Linked DNA regions of Macaca fascicularis. Each later gene encodes a partner of the first gene's protein in a complex. Links are inferred from orthologs where the notes say so. Each region holds a gene or a part of one and is shown in the gene's direction. Other genes may lie near its edges.

Region 1 (3,500 bases):
TGAATGGTTTTCTGTATATCAGAGATGGGACATAATTTTGAGGCCAAATTCCCCCGATGTTTATAAATTTTGGGTACCACTGTGCATCCAAAGTGATTTATTTGGTAGTCATCCTAGAGAGCTGTAAGAGCTTGTGCCTTGGGGGACTGTAAACTGCTTAAACTCCAGGCAACATGTGTCCATAAGCAAATATCTGTCAGCTCTATGCACTTGTCTAGGTTTTTGTAAAATGGATTACGAAGCTTAACTGCTTTGGGGAAAATAGTGCAGTCAGTATTCGGCACCATCTCCAAAGTGCTGGGTGGGATGGATGCAGTCACTGCACATTTGCCGCCGCCCACCAGGAGAGCCATGCTGTTCATCAACATGTTAAGGGCTCTGAAAAGATGACCAGCAAGGAACATTTCACACTTATTTAATCCAGCATTGATACGGACACAATATCTTTTCCTGGTGGGACATCTCACAGAACTAATGTCCTACAGAACACACCGTGGGAAACAGAACTGGGCTGATCTCCTGGTGGAGTGTAAGCAAAATCATCAAAGAAAAACCCAAATCTTCCATCCAAAGTCAAAAAAGTAGTTTCACCATCGTTCTCAGCAAACTGTCACAAGGACAGAAAACCAAACACTACATGTTCTCACTCATAGGTGGGAACTGAACAATGAGAACACTTGGACACAGGGCGCGGAACATCACACACCGGGGCCTGTCGGCAGGTGAGGGGCTGTCGGCAGGTGAGGGGCTGTCGGCAGGTGAGGGGCTAAGGGAGGGATAGCATTAAGAGAAATACCTAATGTAAATGACGAGTTGATGGGTGCAGCAAACCAACATGGCACGTGTATACATATGTAACAAACCTGCACGTTGTGCACATGTACCCTAGAACTTAAAGTGGTTTCAGGGACTCAGTAGCAACAAAATGAAGCAGTTCCTCAGAAACCTGAAGAAGTAATAAAATAACTAATGAAATTTCCACCACTATCAGTTGAGAACTTACAGGCCCCGTGTCAGCACACCACACAGATCACTTAACGCAGAGAGGCATGGCTGCTTAGTGTTCAGGGGGTTGGGCTCATATTCAGCCCTTCCACTCACCAGCTGTGTGTTCTTGGGCAACTTACTTAACTTCTATGGGCCTCTGTCACCTCATGTATAAGAGGTGGATAATAACAGCATCTGCCTTACAGGATTGTGAGTTTACATGTGTGATATTTTTAGAAGAGGAACTGGCACATGGCAAGTTCAATAGAAGTATTTGCTGTTATTATTGCTCTCTTAATTTCCAGAAATAACCAATGGACTACAAATTATTTTAAAGGGAAAAAGTTGACCAGAAAGCAGATGAAGAAGCATATGAAGCAGAAATTCAAGCTGAAATAAGTGAACTGTTGGAAGAGCATACGGAGGAGTACGCACAGAAGATGGAAGAGTACAGAACGTCGTTACACCAGTGGAAGGCCTGGAGGAAAGCGCAAGTGTGTAAACAAACACTCAGCCTGGAATAGGGCTGGCCAGGAAGGGTCTGGGAGGACAGCCTCCAGTACAGGAGTGGGGAAACCAGACTGGCAGACTAGGGTATCCTGTGGCTCCCTCTGTCTCTTCCCCTGTCCCCTGGCTAAGGGATAAAAGGATGAATGAACTGACTGGCTAATGCATTTGCTTAAAAAGCCACCCAGTTGATTGATACCAGAGCCAGCTTTGTCCATAGAGAATGCTATGGTAGCACTCTGTGACTATTTAAGTAATAATGTAGTAATCACTAATGCTTGTGTCCAGCACTGTGCTGAGTATCTTACATGCATTATTCCATTAAATGTAGGGATTGATGCTCTGGAGTTTCCTTCAGAAAATTATATAACTTTATGGACATGACCCTACAAAACTGAGTCCAAGGGCAACAAATAACAGATCAGGTGGACCTGCAATGCTCATTGTGCTTACATGCCTTATTTTAATATTTCAAGATGTGTCCTTAGCCTTGAAAACCAAAATTAATGATCACATGAATACTTACCATTTTTTAAGCTCTTTCTAGGGACTAGGCTATATGGTAAATGCTTTTTAGGCATTTTAACAGTCTCATTTCAACAGCCCTGGGAGATATTTCCTGGGCTCCATTCTGTAGATGAAAAAACTGAGGCACAGAGAGGTCAGGTGGCTTAGTGACCTGCCTGATTACACACATCTGTTTGAAATGGGGCTGGGGTTTGCATCCAGGTCCATCTGGCTCTGAAGACTGTGCTCTTAAATGAAATTCCAAAATTCCTGTTTGATGTCATGTTGCCTCAAACCCAACAGAGGGCCAAGAAGAAGAAAAGGGAACAAGCAGCAGAAGATCATCCCGATGATGAGATTGAGGAGCCACATCCTGAGGAGGACCTTGTGAAGCCCACCCCTCCGGAGCCCACTGATCGGGCAGTGATAGAGCATGAGGTGAGGGAGAGAGCAGCCCAGAGCAGGAGGAGGCCTTGGGAGCCCACGCTGGTTCCAGAGCTAAGCCTGGCGGGAAGTGTAACACCCAGTGATCAGTGCCCCAGGTGAGTGGATGCTCTGACCATAAATGAGGCTGACATCTGATACACATGTTCATGTGGGCACATGCACACTATGGGGAGTGTACACTTACCGACCTACTTTAGCATCAGGAGAATCATCAACTCTGAATGAATATTAGGTTGAACCACATGAAATTGCTGACATTTGCCCACTTTAGGTGATTTCATTGATTCACCTACCTCATGCATGTGCACTGGCCACTCAGGAGCGCGCTGGAAAGCTCCCTGTAGGAGAAGCATCCCAGTTGCAAATCTCTGCCTGCTCTTCACAGTGGCTGGCTGTGTGGCTTTTGATTTGAGTCCCTTATCTGTAACCTCAATGAGTCTTCAGTCCACTGGTAGCATGTCCCACCTTTCTGGCACAGGCATGGATGCCTCTCCTTGCCCCTTCCTTGATTTCAGCTTGTCTCCTTGAAGACCCCCCAAAACACTGTGGGTGTGCCCTATAGCTTGTATTTAAGTCAGGCCATCTGAAGCATACCCTCCAGATTTGATAAAAATACATGTCTAGTCATTCTTACTTGAGAAACATCACTTGATTTATATACATTTGTATATATAATAAATCCATAAACATACATTTATAAGTTCATCTTCTTTTTTAAAATTATAACATAATAAAAATATTTTTATATTTCCTATTTATTCTTTCCTTCACTGTATAGCCATGGTTCTCAAAGTATAGCCCTGGAATCAGCAGCATCAGCATCACTGAGGACTTGTTAGAAACACAAACTCAGGCCAGGCATGGTGGCTCATGCCTATAACTTCAGCACTTTGAGAGGCCAAGGTGGGAGGATCGCTTGAGGCCAGGAGTTAGAGACCAGCCTGGGGAACAAAATGAGACCTCGCCTCTATTGAATAAATAAATACCCCAAACATTTTTAATACCTCACGTTGAAATAAATATGTTTAAGAAAGGTTAATAAAAACTAGCCA
Region 2 (4,110 bases), on another chromosome or scaffold:
GGCACGCGCCACCACATCCGGCTAATTTTGTATTTTTAGTGGAGATGGGGTTTCAGCATGTTGGTCAGGCTTGTCTCGAACTCCTGACCTCAGATGATCCGCCCTCCTGGGCCTCCCAAAGCGCTGGGATTACAGGCGTGAGCCACTGTGCCTGGCCCGCGTATCCCTGTTTGTAGCACCTATTATCTTACGGATTTATTTGTTTGCATGTCTGTTGTTGATCTCCCTGACTAGAATACTATTACTAGGTAATAAATAAATATATAAAAATATTTGTTGAAGGAATGAGAAATGCCTCTTGGGCTTGTACTTTAGTCTGGCTAAAGGCACTGAGACGTCGAGTGGGAAGTAGGAAGATATTGTTCTCCTGGGAAATGGGCCGGGAGTTTCCTTGAGGATGGGACTTGACTGAGCAATTAGAGAAGAACTTTCAGATCTGCAGGGACCTGCGCTGAGGCCCAAAGGTCATGACGTCGCCGGTGATAAGAGCTTCCTGGACTGTAGCTGGGCAATGTCGGAGGTCCAGCACCTCCAAGAGATAAAGAAATCTAAGTTGAGTTTCCCTTCCCGTAGGCTCCAAGCCTCCCAGAGACGCAGGGACTGTACCATTCCCTTCGTCCACTCCCACCTTTCCAGCCACCTTGCTTTGCTCTTATTCCCACGCTAGTTTAAGGACGCGGACCACTTTTTGCACTCTGCAAATCCTTCACCAAACTGAGCAAAGTAGTCTGAGAGAAATCAGTCTTCCTCAAGGAAGGTTCAGGCCTAGGGTCCTCAGACAACCAGGGGCTCTGTGACAATCTGTAACTGCCGAGCAGTCCAGGAACACCGGCCTCTCCACGTTCGGGTCCCTTGTTTCTCAGGCCCAGCTTGGTGGGAAGTTAAAGGCATGAGGAGAGGAGGAAGGGGAGCGGGTGTGAGTCTTCGGCATGGCGGGGACCTCAGCCCGGCGTGGCGGTGGGAGTGATCTCAAGTGATCCACAACTGGGCAGCGTAGCTGGGGCTGGGGGCCGCTCCCGGCGTGGGCAACCGCGGAAGCAGAGGTGTCCCCAGGCTAGGCCAGGGTGGGTTTCCGTTCGTCGGCCCTGCGTGGGCAGATCGGGCGCTGCGCGGCTGTGCCACCCCTCACCCTCTGAGAAACAAAGGGCCTGGCTGCGCACGGGTACCCAGCCATTGGGTTAGAAGCTCCTTCGGGTACCCCTGACCTGAGTTAGCCCTGAAAGACCCACAGCAGATGGAGAATGTACTGCTCTCGCGAGGTTTTCCGAGAACGCGGCAGCACGCCCGCGTACGCGGTTACCAAGGCAACTGGGCGGTGCCTGAGCTGGCGGAAAGGAGGAGTTCGTCTAGATTTGTCCGCTTGCTGGTGGACTTGCGGGAGTCGCAGTCTCTGAACTTCCAGCCTCAGAGACCGCCGCTCTTGTTCCCAAGGGCCATGGGCCGGGTCTCAGGGCTTGTGCCCTCTCGCTTCCTGACGATCCTGGCGCATCTGGTGGTCGTCATCACCTTATTCTGGTCCCGGGTAAGACCCACGGCTGCCCTCCGTCCGCCCCCATTCCCATCTCGGAGTCGTCCCCGCCCCACCCTGCCCCTCTCCCAGTGTCTTACCCACTTGGGTTTTCTCGTGTTCCGCCGTCCCTAGGCCTGCCCAGCAGCCTGCCCCTTTTTCACTTCTCTTCCTCTCTGCCCTGCTCCCAGGACAGCAACATTCAGGCCTGCCTGCCTCTCAGGTTCACCCCCGAGGAGTATGACAAGCAGGACATTCAGTGAGCTCTTAGGACGGGGTGGCCAGAACGAAGAGGTGGTGGGAGTGGAGGGGTCTTAGAAGAAGTCCAAAGGCCTGAGCCAGTCCACTTCCTCTCTGCAGGCTGGTGGCCGCGCTTTCTGTCACCCTGGGCCTCTTTGCAGTGGAGCTGGCCGGTTTCCTCTCAGGAGTCTCCATGTTCAACAGCACCCAGAGCCTCATCTGTATCCTTTCTGCCTGCCCACCTTTCCCACACGACCCATTTCTATCAGGACTCCCTTCAGCCACCTGACACAATAGTGTCTGCTGTAGCCAGTCTCTCCAGTTCAAAGATCTTCAACCATGTGCTAAATCCTGCTGTTTACTAGGCACTTAAAATTCCGAAATGAGAGTAAAATACAGTTTTTGGCCAGGCACGTTGGCTCACGTCTGTAATCCCAGCACTGTGGGAGGCCCGCGCAGGAGGCAACATAGTTAGACCCCGTGTCTACAAAATAAATAGTAATAATAAAAACTCCACTTTTTTTTTTTTTAACCATGAGGAGGAGGTAGATACACATCTGTAATTCAGTGTGATAAGCAGTGTGCTATGGGAGTGTGTAAAGATAGCACAGGCAGGGTGCGATGGCTCATGCCTGTAATGCCAGCACTTTGGGAGACCGAGGCAGGTGGATCACCTGAGGTCAGGAGTTCAAGACCAGCCTGACCAACATAGTGAAACCCTGTCTGTACTAAAAATACAGAAATTAGTCGGGCGTGGCGGTGCACTCCTGTAATCCCAGCTACTCAGGAGGCTGAGGAAGGAGAATTGCTTGAACCCAGGAGGCAGAGGTTGCAGTGAGCTGAGATCGTGCCACTGCACTCCAGCCTGGGCGACAGAGCAAGACTCTGGCAAAAAACGAAAGATATAAAGCACATTGGGAACTCAGAAGAGGCAACGGAAGCCAGGCACATGGGTCAGAGAATTGTGGACCAGGAGGACCAGGACACTGGAGGCTGATTCCAGCGCATATCAAGTCGCTGTCAGCACTCCTGTGTGGCATAGCAGGAGAGCCTACTCTTACCTCTCATCTGAAGGATCCAGGCTGGCCCCTAGATATGGAGTAGGGTAGCCTGAGATCCCATCTGCGCAGTCACTTCTGGTCTCTCCTCACATGACTGTCCTAAAATTCAGAAGTCGGGGATGCTGACTCTAGCCCTTGCAATATGGTGAGGGAGCAAACGATGAACCTGAATGCAGATGCCAACCCCACCACTGGCCTTTGGCCTTTTCTGACCCCTCACTATCTGTCGATCCAAAGACTTTCCTTAACTCTGGTGCCTTCCCAAGCCATTGGGGCTCACTGTAGTGCATCCGTGGCCCTGTCCTTCTTCATATTCGAGCGTTGGGAGTGCACTACGTATTGGTACATTTTTGTCTTCTGCAGGTGTGGTAGCATCCAATATTCGGGAATGAGGGAGGAAGGCTGACCCTAAACCTGAGGGTTTTTCCCCCACCCAGCCCTTTCCTCTATGTGTGAGATACCAGATCCACTTAACATCCTGTAGTCTTTTGAATTTTCATTCCCTACCCCATGCCACCTGTCCTACACTTTCAGGGGTGGGGTCTCTGGTTTGGAGATTTGGGTATTTATATTGAAAGGGTTTCTGAATTTACCACTTGCCTCGGTAGTGCCCTTCCAGCTGTCACTGAAATGACTTTATTCGTCACCGTCTTTGGGCTGAAAAAGAAACCTTTCTGAGCACCTTCATGACGGGAACCTAAGGACGAAGGCTACAGGGGCAAGGGCCGCTTCGTATTCCTGGAAGAAGGAAGGCATAGGCTTCGGTCCTCCCCTCGGAAACTGCTTCTGCTGGAGGATATGTGTTGGAATAATTACGTCTTGAGTCTGGGATTATCCGCATTGTATTTAGTGGTTTGTAATAAAATATGTTTTGTAGTAAGATTAAGACATATACAGTTTTCAAGGCACAATTGAGATGGCGAAACTACTGAAGAAAAAAAAAGAAGCAACGTTATTTTCTAGTTCTGCAGACCGTAAGATACTTGGTATCGCTTCTATTTTGGTTATTACGGTAGTTGTCTGGCGGAAGGGAGTGGGCGGAGATATGTAAATAGAAAGTGCTTACAGTTAGAACGTCCAGCACGTAAATGATCGGAGCATTCTGGGAAAAAGAAATGTATTCCTTTTCGGCAGCCGAATGAAAAAATTCTTTTAAAAATGTGCAAGCAAATATGGCAATACAACTGGAAGGATGCTAAGTAGTAGGGTTACTCATACCAACGCGTCGTGAACTCACCCTAGCTGTAAACGGAATCTTTTTGACTGAGTGCGGAATGTCGGCTCTTTAGAAATATCGTCAGG
Region 3 (3,965 bases), on another chromosome or scaffold:
TTACTATGTGACAGGCCACGAAGATTCAAGACTGTATCTTGACAGATTTCGTGAATTCTAGCTAGCAACTCCCCTGAACGCTAGCTGATTGGAGTGCCAGGCGCCGCCCACTGCGGGCCTCAGTTTCCCCAGCTTCAAACTAAAGCGATGGCTTGGATGTAAGGATTCCTTTTTTTTTTTTTTCTTTTTTTGAGACGGAGCCTCGCTCTGTCGCCCAGGCTGGAGTGCAGTGGCGCAATCTCGGCTCACTGCAAGCTCCGTCTCCCGGGTTCACGCCATTCTCCTGTCTCAGCCTCTAGAGTAGCTGGGACTACAGGCGTGCACCACCACGCCTGGCTAAATTTTTTTGTATTTTTAGTAGAGACGGTGTTTCACCGTGTTAGCCAGGATGGTCTCGATCTCCTGACCTCGTGATCCGCCCGCCTCGGCCTCCCAAAGTGCTGGGATTACAGGCGTGAGCCACAGCGCCCCGCAGGATGTAAGGATTCTTGAGGTCCCTCCCAAGTTTGTTTAATAAACTTTTTCGAGGGCGAGGGTCTCCAAGCCACAAGAGCGCGTCCCTTTCACCTGCTTGGACGCTGCTTGGCCCCAGTTGGGGAGCCTGGTCCGAGCACCCGGCTTTCCAGCCTTAGCCGGGACAGCTGTGGTCACGCCGCCGCGCTCCGCAGCACCTCCCTCCGCGTCCTCGCGGTGGGGCCACAGCGACATCTAGTGGCTGAACGCATTTTAAACACTCGGCTTGCTGCGGGCGAGTCGGGGCGCTGCTCCCCAGGACTCAGCTCTCATTTGCCTCCGCGCTTCGGCGGGGAGGTGGAGACGGGCCGAGTCAGAGTGAACACACACTCCCTGAGGGTGCAATTGAGTAGAGCGGTAGGGCTGGCTTTACCCCACAGGTCAACGCTCCCGCCCCAGGTCTCGGTCATATCTGCCCCAGGAGGGGTGGAGCCTCGGTGTGGAGCCCCGCCCCCTTGTACCCCGCCCCGCAAAAGCCTCGCCCCCTTATGACGGCGCCTGCTCACTGCGCCTGCGCTTGCCACACACCGACACCCACACCCACACACACACACGCGCGTGGCCTTCGCGAAGGTGTCGCTGCCAAGAAACGTGTCCTGCGCGCTACGCCGTCTGTTTCTAGGGCAACGCCGGCGTCTCTTAGCAACCGCGCGCGGCCTAGGTGGGTCCCCCCGGAACCCCCAGCCCTGCCATGGCGACCGCGAGTCCTAGCGTCTTTCTACTCATGGTCAACGGGCAGGTGGAGAGCGCCCAGGTGAGCGGCCGTGGACCCCGCTGGGGCCCGTCCCCCAGCGTCCCCCGGGGCCCTTCCCGCAACCCCCCGGGTTGCCCCGTGGCCCCCGGAGAGCCACGTCATTCCTCTGAGCCTCTCGATTAGGCGGGGGAGGGGAGCCAGCATTGGAGGGCTTGGCGCGAGGCTGCCGGGATCCTGAGTCCCGATGGGCAGGAATAGAAGCAGACCTCGAGATGTTGAGCTAGTACGGAGGTCACACTCGGCCAAGCCTGTGGACCCTCGCACGGATCATGCCCACTTGGTTGGATCACTGGCAGGAGCCTCCCAGGGTGTAACGCGAGGAGCCTAGGCTTGGCTGAGTTTCCAGCATTTGTGCCGTGTCCGATGTGGAGCTACTGTCCTACGTTCTGAATCCCTAGATCCTTGGACTCGGGTTCGAATCCAACCATCCAACGATGGTGGTGGCCTGGAATAACCCAAGGAAGGTGTGCCTGCCAGGCCTGAGGGACGCTACTCTCCATCCCCCTACACTTTAGAGGAATCATTTATTGTAAATATAAACCAACGCTCACCAAGTCCTCAATATGTCCCAAAGTTGGTGCTCGGCACTGGTCCATCCTTACAATCTTGCCAGACAGTCACTACTAACACCCCCATTTTACAGCCGGGGAAACATACCAAAGGAACTATTCTATCTGGAAATTGAACCCACGCCTATCTGACCTCAAAGCTTCACTACACTGTCCTTCCAGGCTGTTGGAGGTGGTGTTTACTATTATTTTATTATATTATTGTGAGGATTGACTGAGACGGTTTGGGTAAGGCTCTGACAGGGCCTGATGCTTTGTAGGTGTCTCCTGCCTTCCTGTTTCATCAGGGATACTACTCCGTGCTCCCACCCTGTCCGCCTCTGCCTCAGCCTAGTGCCTAAGACCGTCTTTCCACACTCTCCTGTTCTATCCCATTAGGGGCTCTCGGCTGGGCTGAGTCACATGTGTCTGTGCTCTCAGCATCATTGACCCCCCACACACACACATACTCACAGTCACACTGTTCCTTCCTCCTCTGCTCTCAGCACCTCCCTCTCTTCGGGCCTCAGCTCCAGTCTTGCATATGATGGCTTCTCAGACCTTTCTATTCAGCACCATTCCCTTACACCAGTGGTCCTCAACCTTTTTGGCACCAATTGTTTCGTGGAAAACAATTTTTCCATGGACAGGAGGTGGCGAGGGATGGTTTTGGGATGATTTGGGGACGTTACATTTATTGTGCACTTTATTTCTATTATTATTACATTGTAAATAATAATGAAATAATTATACAACTCACCATAATGTAGAATCAGTGGGAGCCCTGAGCTTGCTTTCCTGCAACTAGATGGTCCCATCTGGGTGTGATGGGAGAGAGTGACAGATCATCATGCGTTAGATTCTCATAAGGAACATGCAACCTAGATCCCTCACATGTGCAGTTCACAGTAGGGTTCGCGCTCCTATGGGAATCTAATGCTGCCAGTGGTCTGATAAGGAGGTGGAGCTCCCATGGTCATGCGAGCAACGGGGAGCAGCTGTAAGTACAGATGAAGCTTTGCTTGCTCGCCTGCTGCTCGCCTCTTGCCCACCTCTTGCTGTGTGGGCCCGTTCCTAACAGGCCACGGACTGGTACCGGTTGGGGATCCCTGCCTTAGACCTTATCTGTGCCCAGCCCTGTGTCAGGCAGTGGGGACACAGAAAGGCATTAAATCTGTGCTCTGCTCATGGTCTAGAGGAACTGACAGACTTAGACACAGGCAATCATTGCTTTTATGGAGGGAAGCACAGGGCTAAGGGAGCCAAGAGGAGACCTTAAACCAGCCTGAGAGTTAGGGCAGGCTCCCTGAAGGGTAAGTTTTGAAGGGTGAGCAAGAGTTTCCCAGATGAAGAAGTAGGAAGGACAAATCAGACAGAAGGCAGAGCCTGAGCAAAAGCCAGGGGCTGTGGCACTTGGGAGTCTCCCATGGACTCCCGCATCTTGGTCCTCAGCCTCTCCTCTGAACGCCACGTGCACATCTCCAGCTGTCGCTTAGACCCACTCCCAGGTGTCTGACATTCAGAATTCCTCTTGGCTGCACCTGCCTAGCAAATGCGTTGGCCTTAGCATGAATACCACCAGTCGACAGAATCTGTCTGTGCTTTTTTCAGTTTCCAGAGTATGATGACCTCTACTGCAAGTACTGCTTTGTGTACGGCCAGGACTGGGCCCCCACAGCGGTAAGCTGGACTCTTGGGCCTCCCTTACTGCCTTCATGACCTTTGGGGTTTCTGAAGGTGTCATACCCTTCCCCTCCCGATTCAGAACCAGTTGAGAGGTAGACACTGAGTTCAGGGGAACCCAAACACGAGTGTTCCTGGTAAAGCAGGAGCAGAGGACATAGCCATGGTTGGACTCCCTGATCCAGCCACCAAGACTGCACTCACACGCCCTACCCTGTGAGCTTGCCTGGAGCAGCAAAGAGCAACGCCTGCAGCAGGAGGCAGGCCCCAGTAAGCCAGCCTGGCTGTGGCTGAGCTGTGGACACTGGCCAGTCTGCTCACCATTTGGCCCCTCCTCAGCCAGTGGGGAGGACCTGGAGTCAGAAGACAGAGTAGGAGCTTTCCTTCCAGGACTTTCCAAGGCGTAGCTCGCCTCCACCAGGTGAGGGACTATGGTGACGACTTCAGCCCACTGTGCACTCTGCTGT
Region 4 (3,500 bases), on another chromosome or scaffold:
TAGGGCTCGCAGGAATGCAGTGTGAAAGTCATGCAATGGGCTAGCTCTCACCTCCCTCCAATCCCTAGAGAGTGCTTGGATTCTACCACTTAAAACTGGAACTGTCTGTGGGGGCAGCAGCCCTATCAGCCTTGTTCATGATATATCGGTATTTCTAATGCAGCGTCCGGTATGTTCTGGGCACTCAGTGAGTTATGTTTTTAGTGATTAATGACTAGGAAGGAGGTGGGTCCAGTAAGTGTGGAAAGACCTATTATGAGGAATGTGATGGATGTTACTGGGAGGCTTGGAGCAGATGCCAGGCACCATTCTAAGTGCTGTACGTGTCCACCATCTTTGAATCCTCTTGGCTGTCCTAGGAGGTAGGTTCAGTTACTGTCACTCTCTGGCAGATGAGTTACAGGGAGATGAATGAGCTTGCCCACGGCTGCACAGCTGGGAAGTGGCAGAGCTGGGACAGGAATCTAGGCGGTCTGGCCCCAGGGACCTTATACTTTACCACCACACTGGGCCAGCTCTCTCTGTGAGCCCACATGACAGGCTACACACACCCAGTGGACTGGGACTTCCAGCTTAGGTCTGTGTGACACCAAAGGTTGTGCTCTAAAGGACGAGCATGTAAACTAATAGCAGGAATTTGTTTAAAATTTTCTTAAGCAGATTTTAAGGTTAGAGGATCAGGAGTATAGAAATTGGGTCTAATCTCCTCACTAAGTGAAGACTGTTATGATTGCCTGGAATCATTGACAGTATCTGTGAAGCCATCAGTAAATGATTCCAGGGTAGCCCTGTAGTTTCATTGAGTATGCTGGAGTTCTTTACCAGTGTGTGGTTTGGGAATGGTATGTGGTGAAAGAGGAATCAAGGAAATCAGCACGGCCCTACCGTTTCCTTCTCGTGACTGTTGAGTGAGCTGCTGAGATGAGGGCAGCTACTGCCATTGACACCAGGACTCTCCAAAGCTCATTGATATTGAATCCTTTGGTTTTTGCCAATTCCACGGACACACCATGGAAGTGGCTTCAGCAGAGGCTGGTATGGCAGGCTATGCTCTTTCTTGGAACCCGGTGTCATTGCTGAATCAGGGGCCACTGTGCTCAGAGTAAGGAACCCAGGTTGTCCTTATGTTAAACAAGAGCTAATTGAATCGCAGCCTAGGATCCCCTCCATGCTGAAACTCTTTGGTGCGGTGTGTTATGCAGAGGGCTTCGCAGTGACTGGCGTTGCACTTCTGCCATTCTCGTCACATGACAGCTCACAACCTTGTTACTGAGTCATGTCACTTTCTTCTGTGAGAGGTTTTGACTCGCAGGTCTTCTTGGTCATGGGGGCAGACACATAAGGACTGCTTATTTATCTCTAAAATGACTGCTTAAATACTTGGTCATTTTGAATTATAAACAGCATGGTGCATGATTAAGTTCAAAGTGGTATAAACAACTATTAATAGATACATGAGGCTCCTTCCTCAACAGTGGTTTCCAAGAATTGAAGTTTAGAGCAAATGACAGATTCATCCTATAGTGTGAGGAGGCCCAGCTACCTTTAGAGGATGGGTTGATGCCTTGCTAGTCTGCTGGCGGTGGCCATGAATGCAAAATGTCCTTTAATAGCACTGGGATAAGCAGGGCTTCCTGGTGTTGCTGAAAACGTTTGTCTGTGTCTGTTTTCTATTGCTCATAATCCTACCACCCAGAGAAACCACTGTGTGTGTGTGTGTGTTTATGTATGTGTGCACTTGCATTTGTGTAGAAGTTGTGTATAAATTGGGTCAAATGAATATTCGGGGGTGTGTGGGGGCTTAAGCATATGTATCCTGGGACTGTGTGTGAATGTGCATGTGTGGGTATGGAGTGTGTAGGAGTTGTGTTTTGGAGGTGAGGATATATATGTGCGCTTGACAGTGTGATGGAGTTTTGTGTGTATGTATTTGAGATATAATTCACATACCATAAAACTCACCATTTTAAAGTATACAATTCTGTGGCTTTTAGTATAGTCACAGGTTGTGCAACCATTACCACTAATTCCAGAACATTTCCATCACCCCAAAAAGGAGCCCTGTGTTAGCAGTCACTCCTCATTCTTCTCCAGCTCTGTCCCCCAGCCCCTGGCAACCACTGATCTAGTTTTCATCTCTATGGGTTTGCCAATTGGACATTCCGTATAAATGGAATTAGAAGTGTGGCCTTTCGTGTCTGGCTTTTATGACTTAGCATGTTTTCAAGATTCATCTGTACTGTGGCATGTATTAGTACTATTTTTAAGGATAAGTCATATTCCTTTGTAAGGCTAGACTTTGTATTTATCCATTTATCAGTTGATGGACATTTCGGTGGTTTTTGGTTTTAGCTATTATGATAGTGCAGCTGTGAACATTTGTGTACAAGTTTTTGTGTAAACTTTGTTATTAGAGGTAACTACTTTTAAAGTTTTGGTTATATCTTCAAGTATTTTCTTTGTGAATGTATATATGTTTATTACTTTTGCAAATGTGGATCATAGTATACACATGTTGTGTAGCATGCTTCCCCCTACTTGGCCATATATCAGGGGAGGTTTCTTTCCAGTTGGTTGTTATTTTAGCCCATCCTCCCTGGGTAGAGCATCTTCAACACTCCTGGTCTTCACTCTGCAGGTCCCTATCACTGTTCAGTCAGTCCTCATTCAGTCTCTAAATAAAACGCTCACCCGACGGGAAGACACTGATGTGCTACAGCCGGCTCTCGTCAATGCTGGACACTTTCACCTTTGCATGAATGTTGTTCTTGAGGTAGGTGCCGAATTTGGCTTTGAGAGCTTGTCTGTGGCAGACTTAAGCCTCCTGTCGCGCTGGGGTAACTGGATGCCGTCCGAGGACACTCTGTCCTAGCCTGTGGTGTGGCTTTACCTGGCTTGGCTGCCTGCTTGCCTTTCTGCTGTCTCATCAAAGGACACCTCTTGTCTCCACAAACCTAGTGACTTGCCGGAATACATCAAAATATTTTTGTTGTTGCTGTTTTTGTTTTAACATGTTTCCTCTGCAGAGATAGGCTTATTACATTCTGCTTGGACCAGCTTATGTGGAACTTCTGTAATTGGGCAGAGTGGCTCAGATGACCTTGTCTGCTAGGGGTGGTGCTGAGGGAACACCTCTCGTAATCCAACTGGACAGCAGAGCAAGGCTTTAACACATGGAGAAATGGGGAAAGATTTGCTATCTGTGGGTATTTTCAGTTATTCATACAGCTTCTGAAATGTAATGGAACAGGTATATTAGGAGTATCATTTTTTTTTAGGTAAAATACAGCCTCACATACACAGATAGAGGTGAAGTCACCAAAGCTGATCTGTCATTCCTTCTGGGGACAGTTAGCAGTGTAGTGGTCCCACTGCAGCAAAAGTTTGAAATTCATTTTCTTCAGGTAAGGTTGATCAATTTGGCATAAGTATTTAATTGCCAAGTTAAAAAGAAATAATGACTTCTTAGTGGATAAAACTGAATTTCTAAGTATTACATC
Region 5 (4,008 bases), on another chromosome or scaffold:
TCAAGAATTTTCAGCAAGAGAGAGCCATTATCCGATTTACATTTTTAGTCAGGACATTCTGATAGCAGTGTGGGGAATTTTAAGAGTCAAAACTGGAGTCACAGGACTGGTAAAGCGCCCACCTGAGGAATTTAAAAAGAGAGAATGAATATGCTTTGGTATAAGATGCATTTAGGATACTCTACAGTTCTTACTAAAACACTGGGAGCAAGTGTTTGACACTTGATAGTGCAAGATTACAGCAAGATAGTGGTGGCTTACAGCAAGATAGAAATCTAGGAGAGTAGGTTTAGAATGCAAAGTTGAACAGCTCAGTTTGGTACACAGCGGATTAGTAATCTTTCTCGTTGCTTCCTCAAAGGATTTAGGGAAGCACATGGCATAGAGATATAGTTTGTAAGGTGTGGCAATGCCAGTGAGAATGGAAAAGCTGGCCTCCGTAAACTCTCTCTCTGTACAAACGAAGCAACAGGTTACAGCGCGTGGCTGTAGGTACAGGAAATGGCGTGTATTCATGAGTCCACGAGTAGCGCAACTAGTATTTTTCCAGCCCTGGTGACTCAGAGCTGAAGATGGCGCCTGCGGCAGAAATCAGAAAAGTGGGAGGGAGCATTAGGTACAGAAAAGTATGGCGTTTTAACTTTTGTTTTCCACACACAGGGAGATAGCTCTAAAGGAATCGTGCATAATTTTTTCTTAAGATTTTGTCTGTAGTACAACTTCATTTTCCACGCTTTAAAATCATGTTTTCTTTTGTGGGCGCGACCGCGTGGGGAGTGACAAATCTGTTTCTTTGCCTCATTCATTGATTTTCTTATTTTGGGCGACTTCCATAACAGCCTCCCCAGTTTTCCTTTGCCCCGTCAGTTTTTCCCTGCGCTTGCTACAATTCTAAGGCGGAAAGAGTATTTTTGGAGGTGAGGGCGGGGAAGACTCAAGCTCTGTGGGAGCACCCGCGCATTTCCGACTCCCTTCCCGCTCGCACGGCCTCGGAGGCTGGAGGCCGGTAAGGTCCCCGAAGCGCGCGCCCACCAACAGCCTGAGGGCCCCGGTGCAGGCGCCGCGCGGCCCCTTCTCCCGGGCTGAGGCGAAGGCGGTGGCGGCGCGGGGACGGGGGCGGGGGCGGGGCCGCGGTCCGGGCCTAGCGCGCGAGACGCGTCGGTCGCCATGGGAACGGCGGTGTAGGCAGGCGCTGACGTCAGCAGGCCGCGAGTCGTCCGCACTGCGGCACAGAGCAGTGGCTTGCTCTCCGAACCCGGGTCGCTGGCGGGTAAGGTGGCTTCGTGGCCGCCTCACTTAGCGCCCGCGCCGCTGGGCGCGGGGGAGTCGATTTGCACTGTTCCGGGTGTCGGCTTGGGCGGGACGGACGGTTCTGCCTACTCCTCCTCTCCGTAAGTACCTCGTGGGTTCGCTGGTGGCGGGAGCGCGGGCCGGGGTGCTGGGCCTGCCCGGCCCTCTCCGGGGCGGCGTGTCGGGGCTGCTGGAGTCCGAGAGCGCGGGGGCTGATCGCGGATTGACCGGGGAGCGTGGGCCGGGTGTCCCGGAGGAATGCGATTTCCCGGAGTCCTCAACGTACTTTTCCGCTTCTTTCACTGGTCTCGGTGTCTCCGGAGAGTTGAGCATGGTGTTCTGATAGGGAATTCAATCTTTGCCTTTCCTACTCCCGATTCTTGTTTAAATGCTTTTAAATCAGATGCGTACTGAGTGTGTTTATTTCCTTTTAGAGTGTCATCCTGGGGCTGAATCTTCAACCTGTCAAAGCCTACTTAATTACGTCTGAGAAAAGGTGATCAATTTGTTAAACTTATAAGAGCCAGATTATATTAATAGGGTTGTTTCGAGATGCATAAAAATAGAATAAAAATGTAGACCATTTAAGCATCCTTATCAAAGGTTGTGCTGCGTTTGGCATTCCTGTGAAAACATCTAATGTGAAAATAAAGTTTTTCCCTTTTGAGAAAGAGATGCCAACAGTTTTTTCACCTGTTGCATTAGCAGTTACTGTTATTGCTTGGGTTAGGAGGAAGATTGCTTCTTATGAGTACTCTGGGAAATTTTTTAAAGAATGCTTGAAAAAATTAAAATACCAAAAGTGTTATTAAACCATACTTAGAATCTTGTTTATGAAGAATAATATTTATGAAGTTAGAATCTTGTGTACTTATGAAGAATCTTGTTGATCTATTCATTGAATTTTGTGTACAGGATTTTTGTTTGTCTTTTTTTCCCTTGCGATAACATTTGGTTAAAGAGGGAATTATCAAGCCTCTCAATTTTTTCTCCCATTGATATTGAGTCACATATTGGCTGATAATCAGGTGGTCTGTAAAATAAAATGAGATGAGGTGTAATCCATTTAATTTTCCTACATAGTATCTCTTAGAAGCTCCTGTGAAAGGGTTTGTGAGGGAGAAGTTGTAAAATAATGGAATATATAAGATTCGGAGGTGTCTTTTAAAGTCCGACCTGAATTTTCGCAGATAATGTTACTAATTAAATATTAGTCATTAATTCTATCATATGTTTGCTGTAGTACACATTAAGATTTAGAGATGGCTGGGCACAGTGGATCAGGCCTGTAATCCTAGCACTTTGGGAGGATCAAGAGTGGGTGGATCACTTGAGGTCAGGAGTTCAGTATCCGCCTGGCTAATGTTGGTGAAAACCCATCTCTACTAAAAATACAACAATTAGCCGGGCGTGGTGGCGCACACCTGTAGTCCCAGCTGCTAGGGAGGTTGAGGCAGGGGAATTGCTTGAACCCAGGAGGCGGAGGCAGCAGTGAGCTGAGATTGTGCCACTGCACTCCAACCTGGGCAACAGAGCAAGACTTTGTCTCCAAAAAAAAAAAAAATTAGAGATTATTTCTATAATGTATTTGCTGTGTTATTAAATAATATTAGTATTTATTCAGTTGTGTATTAAGCTATTAACAGTAAATAATTCTATGATTTCTGTATTTTATTAATAATTACTTATTTTTAATACAATAATACTGGACATAAAGTAATTTTATTGCAGTGTACTCATTACTTTGCTTTTTGGTATTTTCTCCTTGCAGTACTAAAACAGGTGCCATTTTAAATTCCCAGACAAGGAAAAACCAAGGATTAGAAATTAAGTAGCTTACCCAATGCCACACATCAGTAAGTGGTGACACTGGAGGTCAAACCTGAGTCTTTTTTACTCTAGGACCGTTGCTACTGCTTCGCTTTGCTTTGCTTCTCGTGTTTTCTCTTCTCTCTCCTCTTTTCTTTCATAGTGCCAGATACATAACTATAGAGAGCATTGGCGTGGCCTCCAAAGCTAGCAGTTTGGTGGGAGACAGAACATTTAACCAGGATGAAAATTCAGGGCTGAGGTAGAGGGAGTTACAAAGATTCAGGCATCCTGGGAGCACAGAAGAGAAGTGCTTCACTGCCCTTCAAGGTGCGAATGCTCTCTAGAGAAGATACTTGCCTTCAAAGGATAATGAGGAGTTTGTTAGAGTGACAAAGGAGGAAGGACATTTTTCAGGAGAGGGGATATATGTGTAATGATACAAAAGCAAGAGAGGACGTGGCACATGTGAAGGCCTGGAGGTAGTTTCACATGGCTGGAACACAGCGTATGGTGTGAAGGGGACATTTCATAAATGGCCTTGGACCTCAATGGTAAGGACTTGATATTTTTTTCAGTGTGTGATTGGGAGCTAGGGAAGAATTTTAAGCAAAGAAATGACACCGTCACATTTGAATTTTAGAAAATTACACTGATTGCTGTATAGATGATGATTTATTTTTTAAAAGGGTAAGGTGATAGTGGCATGGAAACAATCTTAAAACAAACAGCATAATCCTTCCACAGTGTTTTTGTCCCAGAGTTACTGTCTCATGTCACTGCCTTTAGGGGTGGTGGAAAGACAGTTGGAAGAATTCTGTAAAGAATTGTCTACATGTCCCTTCTACAGGGGTCACCTTCCATTCACCCCTCAGCCCCAGCCTGCTAGGTTTCTGCCCCTCCATAAAC
Region 6 (4,147 bases), on another chromosome or scaffold:
GGTGCAATAAGATGCACAGCTAGTGCTGCCTTGTGACTCTAAGATCTACCTCCTTGAAAAGTTTGCCTGTGGCAAATGTGGCTCGGCTCCCAAGCCAAGACAAAGTATAATTGGAGTGCCGAGGCTAAAAAACAAAATACCAACGAGACTGGTCGAATGAGGCACCTAAAAATTGTGTACAGCAGGTTAAGGCATGGCTTTTCTGAAGGAACACCACCTAAACCCAAGAGGACAGCTGTTGCAGCAGGAGTTCAAGACCAGCCTGGCAAACGTGGCGAAACCCTGTCTCTACTAAAAACACAATAATTAACCGAGTGTGGTGGCGGGCGCCTGTAATCCCAGCTACTCGGTAGGCTGAGGCAGAAGAATCGCTTGAACCCGGGAGGCGGAGGTTGCAGTGAGCCGAGATTGTGCCATTGCACTCCAGCCTGGGCGACAGAGCAAGACTCTGTCTCGAATAAAAAATATATATATATTTGGATTAGTCACACAATAAATGTTCCGATTTAAAAAAAAAAAAAAAGGCAAAACTCTCCTTTGCTGTTAGAATTCAGGAAAGGTCAGTTATGAGTGAGGAGGGGGTTTAGTGACTGAAAGGAAATAGGAAGGGGGAGTTTCTGGGAATATTGTAACGTTTCTTGAACAGGGTGCTGATATATTAAGTAATATATCTTAGAGAGAAAGCTAGAAAATACAGAAGTGTTTAAAAATTTTTGAATCACCTACAATCCCACTATCCAGTGATAACTGTTAATATTTTTTTCCAGTTTTTTTTGAAGTCGGTGTGCACATGCTCTCTCCTCCCCTCCACTCATACACATAAATTTTGCTAAATTAGGTTTATTCTCATTTAGTTTTATTTCTGCTTTATTTTTACATAAACTATATCATTCAATATTCTTTGCAAGCATTTTATAAGCAGCTGAAACATACTCCATTGAATGCATATGCTCCAGTACATTTAATCAGTTGCCCATTGCTCTATTTTCTTATTAAAAAATAATCAGTCATAGTATCTCTCTCTCACACATACCCCTACACCTCTAGACATTCTTTAAGCTCTGCATTCATTCTCTATTTCCCTCCAGAAAGGTTGTACCGATTTACAGTTTCACTGGCAAGATATGAGGGCTCCTTGTATCGCAGTCCAACCCCAGCTCATTTCTTAGTATAGGTTTGTTTTTAGGATGGTCGGGCTCAAAGCAGAACTAAGAGATCTGCCGTTTTGGACACGGCCGAGGCACGCAGCTCCCGGGGCCTGGAACGCGCTCTGAGTACGCCGGTCCCTTCAAGGTTGCGCGGGCTCCCGACGAGACCCGGCCCAGCCGGGCACCCCCGCGCGCTCCCGGATCTCGCCGGCCTCGCGCCGGCCGGTTGCCATGAGAACCACGGAGCCTCGGAACGCCCGCAGACTAGCCTGTATCTGAGGGGGCGAGGGATACCGAGGCCCAGGCATGGAGCTGCCGGATCCGGTGCGCCAGCGGCTGGGAAACTTCAGCCGGGCTGTGTTCACTGATTCCAATCGGACCGGTCCGGAGTACAGTGAGGGTCCCGGTGAGTGACCGAGGCCGGCGCAGGGGGTGTGGCCTGCTGAGGGCTTGGCGTGGGTTTTGGAGCGTCCAGAATTTGCCCGTACCTAAAATGGCGATGTCGCCTTCAGTCAGTTTCCCGCAGTGCGGGCCAGAGCCTTGGAGGAGGGGCCGGCCGGGGCGGGGAGCTGAGGCGCTGGCGGCCTCCGGCCGCGGGCTGGGCCTGGTCTGCACGCGCTAACGCCTGGCCTGCTCCGTGCAAGCCCGGCAGCTGAGGTGGGGCCGACCTCTGTGCCACGCAAGGCCCATCATGGCTCCTGGGAAACCCCAAAAATAAAAAGATAAAAGCCGCCCTTGCTGCACAGGCTAGTCCCCCGCGCACCGCGAGAGCGAAGGCCCAACTTGCTTTTCCTCTGCGGCGCCCGCCCCGGCTTTTCTGTCCAGGATGGCGAGGAACAGCCCAAGCAATCCCCACCTCCCCTGTCCCCACCCGCCGCCCAGGGAGCAAATTTGCCTTTTCCCTTTTCCTAGCAGAACAAGTATGTTCCTAAGCAAGGCCATTTTCTGGCAGAAAAGATTAGGGGGAAAAAATTTTTTTTTTAAGAGTCCTTTCAAACCACCATCCACTCCCAACTGGCATGTGCCATACTAGCCGGACGTTCAACAAAACTCACCCCTTCCCTGCCTTCTCCTCCTCCTCCCCTATATGTAACTCTTACCATAAGGTAAGAAAATACCATAATGCCTCTGCATCCTTCAACTTGATGACAAGTGATAACACAGTTTCCTCCAGAACAGGTTCCTCCTCCTACATCATGATGGTAGACAACACACTGTCAACCAAACCCGTGTGGTTTCCATCATTCAAGTCTGCTGGGAAATATAAATCTTTTCCACTGCTTGGTTTTACAGAATTTTTAAAAGGGACAGAAAAGTAAAGGCAGTCCCCAAAGCTGCATTTTGTCGTCTTGATCACTTGCCTATTCCCCAAATGTAGGCCTTTATGATTTAGGATGTACAGAGAAAAATGTGAAAAAATTAGGTTTCACGTTTCTGGTTCCAAGGATGAGGCTTAATGAGCACTAACGTCTGATAATACAAGGTAAAAAGACGTTTTCTGAAAAGGGCCAGATAGTAAGTACTTTAGGCTTTGTAGGCCATATGGTCTCCACGGCAGCCACTGACAATAGTTATTGAATAGGCATGGCTGTGTTCCAATAAAACTTTAAGGATATTGAAATTTGTATTTCGTATGGATTTCACGTATGAAAAAAATATTACTTTTTTAACCATTTAAAGGTGAAAAAACATTTTTAGCTCATTGACTGTACAAAAACGTTTAGGCAGCTGACCAGTTGTTTACCTATCCCTGATTTATATTGTATGTTTTAATTTAAATTCCATTTATAGAACTCAACTTGAACTTTTGCAAAATTCAGTAAATGTATATCTTATGCTTTTAAGGTTCATTTACATATTAATTTGATTTTCATTTCCATGATTATAAGTTTGATCTGCTGAAATATGGACATAGCATAACCTTTAAGATGTTAACACACAATACTTCTAACATAAAAACCGTTCTTTGCAAAATTTGACTACAGTTTCTTCTCAAAGGTACTGAAATGTTCTGCTTGCCCAATTTATTATTCTTTCCCGTATTTTGTTCTTTGTGGATCAGAAGTAGGTTTGATTATTTGTACTGTAATAACAAATTTATGTAATTACCATGTCCACAGCATTGTGCTGTTGCTATCAGAAAGATCCTAGGCTGGTGAGTTGTCTTCAGATTTAACAGATTTTAAGAATTCATTCATTTATCAGTGGTAATTTAATAAGCAGTTGCAAGCAAAAGTAGATCATAATAATCAGGCATATTTTTGGAGCTAAAAGAAACTATTTTGCTGCGAGAGACCATGACTGTTTCTTATATTTTAAAATTATTAAATGACAGATAAAAACACTCAACTATGGAGAAAAGGAGAAATAATGTTCTTAAGACATTTATTTTAGGACCTTTAAAATCTTACGTGTAGAACAACTGATTTCAATATATGTGTCCGCTCTTAAGAATTTAGTCAAATTTAGGATGTATTTTGTAGGGTTCAATTTTAAAAATCAAATTCTTAATTTAGGACCCTTCTGTCTTACATAAAAGCAAAAAGTGTTATGGAATCAACCTTAGGTAAATGGAACTCATGTATCACAAATGGCTATACTAGTAATGTCCTTATGACAGTATGCTTACATTAATTCATTCTTATGTGTATTTGATATTCACTGCATATAAAGCAAGATGCTAGATTCTATGAGGGTCTCAAATTAGGGTGGGACATGGTGTGTGCTTGCAGATAAGTAGATAAATAGAAGAGAAGAAGGAAAGGGGACTAATATTTGTTGAGTGCCTACTAAGTGTGCCCAGCACAGTGCTAGGAAGAAATAATTCATATTGGCTCTAATTCTCACAAGCAGCCTGTAAGGAAGTTTTAATTTCACTATTTTACAGATGAAGAAATAGAAGCTCAAAGAACTTAAATAATTTATATAAAGTCTGACATCCAGGGTCACAGAGGTTTGGGGAGCTTGGGTTTGCTTGAACTCTGAAGCCCGTGATCTGT
Region 7 (3,500 bases), on another chromosome or scaffold:
GCCCAGCTAATTTTTGTATTTTTAGTAGAGATGGGGTTTCTCCATGTTGGTCATTCTGGTCTCAAATTCCCAACCTCAGGTGAGCCACCGCACCCAGCCGGCCCTCTTAATTTAATTTAATTTTATTTTAGATGGAGTCTCACTCTATTGCCCAGGCTGGAGTGCAGTGGTGTGATCTCGGCCCACTGCAACCTTCACCTTGCTGGTTTAAGCAATTCCCCTGCCTCAGCCTCCCTAGTAGCTGGGATTACAGGTGCATGCCACCACACCAGGCTAATTTTTTTGTATTTTTAGTAGTGACGGGGTTTCACCATGTTGGCCAGACTGGTCTTGAACTCCTGACCTTAGGCAATCCACCCGCCTCAGCCTCCCAAAATGCTGGGATTATAGGCGTGAGCCACCACACCCTGCCCTCTTATTTTATTGAATAGCATCGATTGATGATTCTTACCTGCAGAAAGTTTCACTGTGATATTTGCCTGATGGTGATTTTCTGTTTCCCTAATTACTTTTTTATTTATTTGGAACTTTACTATAAGGAGAAACTCTCCCTTTGCTCACATTATTTATTCAATTATTTATTTTTAAATCAGTGTGAACTCGTATTTATTTTATTCTAGTAATTATAATATGTTACTATTTGTTTTCTTGTTCAAATTGTCCCACATTTGGCCATTACAAGTTCCTCCAACTTGACTCCTGTGTCCTTTCAACATGTCCCACCCCACCATTTTTTTGAGCACTTCCTTACTTTCTGTTCACAGTGTTTTTGAACACCAATGAGAGAAATTACATAAATTCTCAATTGTTCTTTTGTTTTTTAGATTGCTTTGGGTGTATTGGGTGGGCTAGCTGTTTTAGCATCTCTTTTGAAGACAGCAGGATGGAAGAGGCGCATTGGGAGTCCCATGATTGACTTACAGGTATAATCTCAGCGGTTTTTAAATAATATTTTAATCTTTTGACTCTTCTGGATCCTTTTCATAAGACACAGCTAGAGGATAAGTAAAGAAGTTGCATTGAATTTTTCTGGGGTATGTAATTAGGATAAATATTGCTGGGTCATATGGTATATGCGTACCTCATTTTCTTCCCACCATACTGTATGCCAGTCTATATTCCTACCAGCAATGCTCTTCTTATTTCTGCACAAACTTGGCAACACTTGATATTTTTCCAGCCTTTCCAATTTTTGCCAATCTCATGGCATATAGTAGTATGTCACTGTTGATTTCATTTTCATTTCTCTGTACTCTTCATATACATTTTAATCATTCAGGTTTTTCCTTCTGTTAACTGCCTGTTTATATCCCTTGCCTACTTCTCTATTATGTTTCCAGTTTTTCTTGTTTATGTGAAGGATTTTTTTTATTTTCTAAATAGTAACCCCTTTTTGGTTTCTGATGTTGAAATATATGAACAAATAAATATGTGACCCATCTGTCATTTTTATCCATGTGGTCCTTTGTTTAACAGAAACTTTCAGGTTTGATTTTGTTTTTGTTTTTGTTTTTGTTTGTTTTTTTGAGACAGAGTCTCACTCTGTCACCAGGCTGGAGTGCAGAGGCACGATCTTGGTTCACTGCAACCTCCATCTCCCGGGTTCAAGTGATTCTCCTGCCTCAGTCTGCTGAGTAGCTGGGATTACAGGCATGCACTACCTTGCCTGGCTAATTTTTGTATTTTTAATAGAGACGGGGTTTCACCATGTTGGTCAGACTGGTCTTGAACTCCTAGCCTTATGATCCACCCACCTCGGCCTCCCAAAGTGCTGGATTACAGGCATGAGCCACTACGCCTGGCCAGAAACTTTTAGTTTTGATATCATCATATCTGAATATTTTTTCAGTGCTTTTAGGATCTTGTTTAGGAAAACCTTCCCTATATCAAGATCACAAAGATAGTCCACATTTTATTCTATTAACTTTATACTTTCACTTCATATTTAACCTTTTATTTTTATCAAACATTTAAAAAATATTTACCATGTACCAGGCACTTTTTAAAGCTTTATGTATGTAATTTTCTTAATCCTCACAGTAGCTCTTTGAAGTTAGGTTATTATCATTATTCGCATTTTACACATGATGAAATTGAGGCAAAGGTTAAATTTTCTACTCTCTTGATTTTTACAGCAACTCAGTAATAGACATTTCCATTTTGCTGATGAAGAACATGAGAAAGGTTACCGGGTAACTTTAACCAAAGTATCTTTCTGATTCCAAAGCCAGTGAGCTAAGGAATCAGCAGGGGGACTTGATTTACTACTTGGGATAGTCCAGAAAGGCTTCCCAGAGAAGTGAACTTTAAGTGGGATTATCTCTTCATTCTACAGTAGTCACTGAGGCTCTACTGTCTAAGTGTCTGGCACTCTGCCAGGAACTAGAGGATGTGATAGTGAGCAAAGACAGACATAGTCTGTGCTCTCAGAAATCATGAGAGCTTGCCAGAGAGAGGAAGAGAAGAATATTTGGTAAAACAATGCCCATTTTATTCCACAAAATATTCAAGATGAAAGTATGGAGTGGTTAGTCATTGACTAACTACATGACTAGAACTGGCAGATGAGGCTAAAAAGTTAATTTTGGCCCATATTGTGAAAGACCTTGTGGATCAGGAATTTATATTGCAGTGAGGAGTTGTTCATTTTTAACAAGGGAAGTGACACAATCCAATTCACATTTTAGAAAACTAACTCTGGTGTTAGTGTGGAGGAGAGATTAAAGGGGACTAAGAGAAAATTAGGAAGCAGTTCAATTTTCTTAGATAGTGAAAGATGAGAAGAGTTGAAAAAAGAGGCTACCAGGAATGGCCAGAAAGGTAAGGAACCAAAAGGTAGCAAGGAGGAGGAAGCAGATGGTCTTTATAGCCAGATCATATGTGGATATGTGAAACGAGGTTTCAGGCTTAAGAAACGTAGTGGATGATGTATAAAAGTGGTAATATTACTAAAAGTGGTTTATACATTGAGTCTTAAACAGCTGTTAATTCATTTTTTTTAATTGCAGACAGTTATGAAATTCTTGGTGTACTATGCTGGTGATCTGGCCAATGTTTTCTTTATCATCACAGTGGGAACAGGTCTTTACTGGCTTATTTTCTTCAAAGTGAGTGAGTTTCTGAATTTACCCCAACTGCCAATATCGGAATAATTGAAAAATTTTCTTTATAAAGGAACTATTTTTGTTTGGGAGAATTTTTGATCAACAGTATTAAGAAAAGTGCCCAACTCTCCATTCCTTGAGTGTGCTGAGCTTATCGATCACATCGCTATCTTCCTCTTTTATGCTTTCTTTGGTTTTTAAATTGTGCTTAAGAAAAACCTTGTTCAATTGGAAGACTTACGTGGGAGGATCCTGTGAGTCCAAAATCGAGTCCTGCCCGGGCAGCATACTGAGACCCTCCTTTCCCAAAAAAAAAAAAAAAAACACTTTGTGTGATTATATTTAATCAAGTAATTTTTATTATAGGCACAGAAGTCTGTCTCTGTTTTGCTACCA

The links.
Region 2: CC2D2A (region 1) and TMEM107 share a complex: the UniProt entries of both Homo sapiens proteins name them as parts of the tectonic-like complex. The link is inferred for Macaca fascicularis from reciprocal best matches to the Homo sapiens genes CC2D2A and TMEM107.
Region 3: CC2D2A (region 1) and B9D1 share a complex: the UniProt entries of both Homo sapiens proteins name them as parts of the tectonic-like complex. The link is inferred for Macaca fascicularis from reciprocal best matches to the Homo sapiens genes CC2D2A and B9D1.
Region 4: CC2D2A (region 1) and TCTN1 share a complex: the UniProt entries of both Homo sapiens proteins name them as parts of the tectonic-like complex. The link is inferred for Macaca fascicularis from reciprocal best matches to the Homo sapiens genes CC2D2A and TCTN1.
Region 5: CC2D2A (region 1) and AHI1 share a complex: the UniProt entries of both Homo sapiens proteins name them as parts of the tectonic-like complex. The link is inferred for Macaca fascicularis from reciprocal best matches to the Homo sapiens genes CC2D2A and AHI1.
Region 6: CC2D2A (region 1) and TMEM17 share a complex: the UniProt entries of both Homo sapiens proteins name them as parts of the tectonic-like complex. The link is inferred for Macaca fascicularis from reciprocal best matches to the Homo sapiens genes CC2D2A and TMEM17.
Region 7: CC2D2A (region 1) and TMEM67 share a complex: the UniProt entries of both Homo sapiens proteins name them as parts of the tectonic-like complex. The link is inferred for Macaca fascicularis from reciprocal best matches to the Homo sapiens genes CC2D2A and TMEM67.

What each region holds. Positions count from the first base shown.
Region 1 is NC_088379.1:14,692,461-14,695,960, forward strand, and holds part of CC2D2A (coiled-coil and C2 domain-containing protein 2A), read left to right. Parts: intron 1-1,324; coding exon 1,325-1,481; intron 1,482-2,304; coding exon 2,305-2,543; intron 2,544-3,500. UniProt on the Homo sapiens protein: Component of the tectonic-like complex, a complex localized at the transition zone of primary cilia and acting as a barrier that prevents diffusion of transmembrane proteins between the cilia and plasma membranes.
Region 2 is NC_088390.1:8,261,417-8,265,526, reverse strand, and holds TMEM107 (transmembrane protein 107), read left to right. Parts: upstream 1-1,310; 5' UTR 1,311-1,435; coding exon 1,436-1,522; intron 1,523-1,698; coding exon 1,699-1,766; intron 1,767-1,849; coding exon 1,850-1,968; intron 1,969-2,808; exon of another isoform or gene 2,809-2,907; intron 2,908-3,074; coding exon 3,075-3,171; intron 3,172-3,416; coding exon 3,417-3,486; 3' UTR 3,487-3,688; downstream 3,689-4,110. UniProt on the Homo sapiens protein: Plays a role in cilia formation and embryonic patterning. Requires for normal Sonic hedgehog (Shh) signaling in the neural tube and acts in combination with GLI2 and GLI3 to pattern ventral and intermediate neuronal cell types.
Region 3 is NC_088390.1:19,104,799-19,108,763, reverse strand, and holds the start of B9D1 (B9 domain-containing protein 1), read left to right. Parts: upstream 1-1,165; 5' UTR 1,166-1,204; coding exon 1,205-1,267; intron 1,268-3,426; coding exon 3,427-3,495; intron 3,496-3,965. UniProt on the Homo sapiens protein: Component of the tectonic-like complex, a complex localized at the transition zone of primary cilia and acting as a barrier that prevents diffusion of transmembrane proteins between the cilia and plasma membranes.
Region 4 is NC_088385.1:117,523,226-117,526,725, forward strand, and holds part of TCTN1 (tectonic-1), read left to right. Parts: intron 1-2,638; coding exon 2,639-2,773; intron 2,774-3,278; coding exon 3,279-3,404; intron 3,405-3,500. UniProt on the Homo sapiens protein: Component of the tectonic-like complex, a complex localized at the transition zone of primary cilia and acting as a barrier that prevents diffusion of transmembrane proteins between the cilia and plasma membranes.
Region 5 is NC_088378.1:39,537,206-39,541,213, reverse strand, and holds the start of AHI1 (jouberin), read left to right. Parts: upstream 1-1,208; 5' UTR 1,209-1,391; intron 1,392-1,724; 5' UTR 1,725-1,786; intron 1,787-3,262; 5' UTR 3,263-3,653; intron 3,654-4,008. UniProt on the Homo sapiens protein: Involved in vesicle trafficking and required for ciliogenesis, formation of primary non-motile cilium, and recruitment of RAB8A to the basal body of primary cilium.
Region 6 is NC_088387.1:59,409,932-59,414,078, forward strand, and holds the start of TMEM17 (transmembrane protein 17), read left to right. Parts: upstream 1-1,347; 5' UTR 1,348-1,454; coding exon 1,455-1,554; intron 1,555-4,147. UniProt on the Homo sapiens protein: Transmembrane component of the tectonic-like complex, a complex localized at the transition zone of primary cilia and acting as a barrier that prevents diffusion of transmembrane proteins between the cilia and plasma membranes.
Region 7 is NC_088382.1:103,443,512-103,447,011, forward strand, and holds part of TMEM67 (meckelin), read left to right. Parts: intron 1-824; coding exon 825-923; intron 924-3,008; coding exon 3,009-3,107; intron 3,108-3,470; coding exon 3,471-3,500. UniProt on the Homo sapiens protein: Required for ciliary structure and function. Part of the tectonic-like complex which is required for tissue-specific ciliogenesis and may regulate ciliary membrane composition.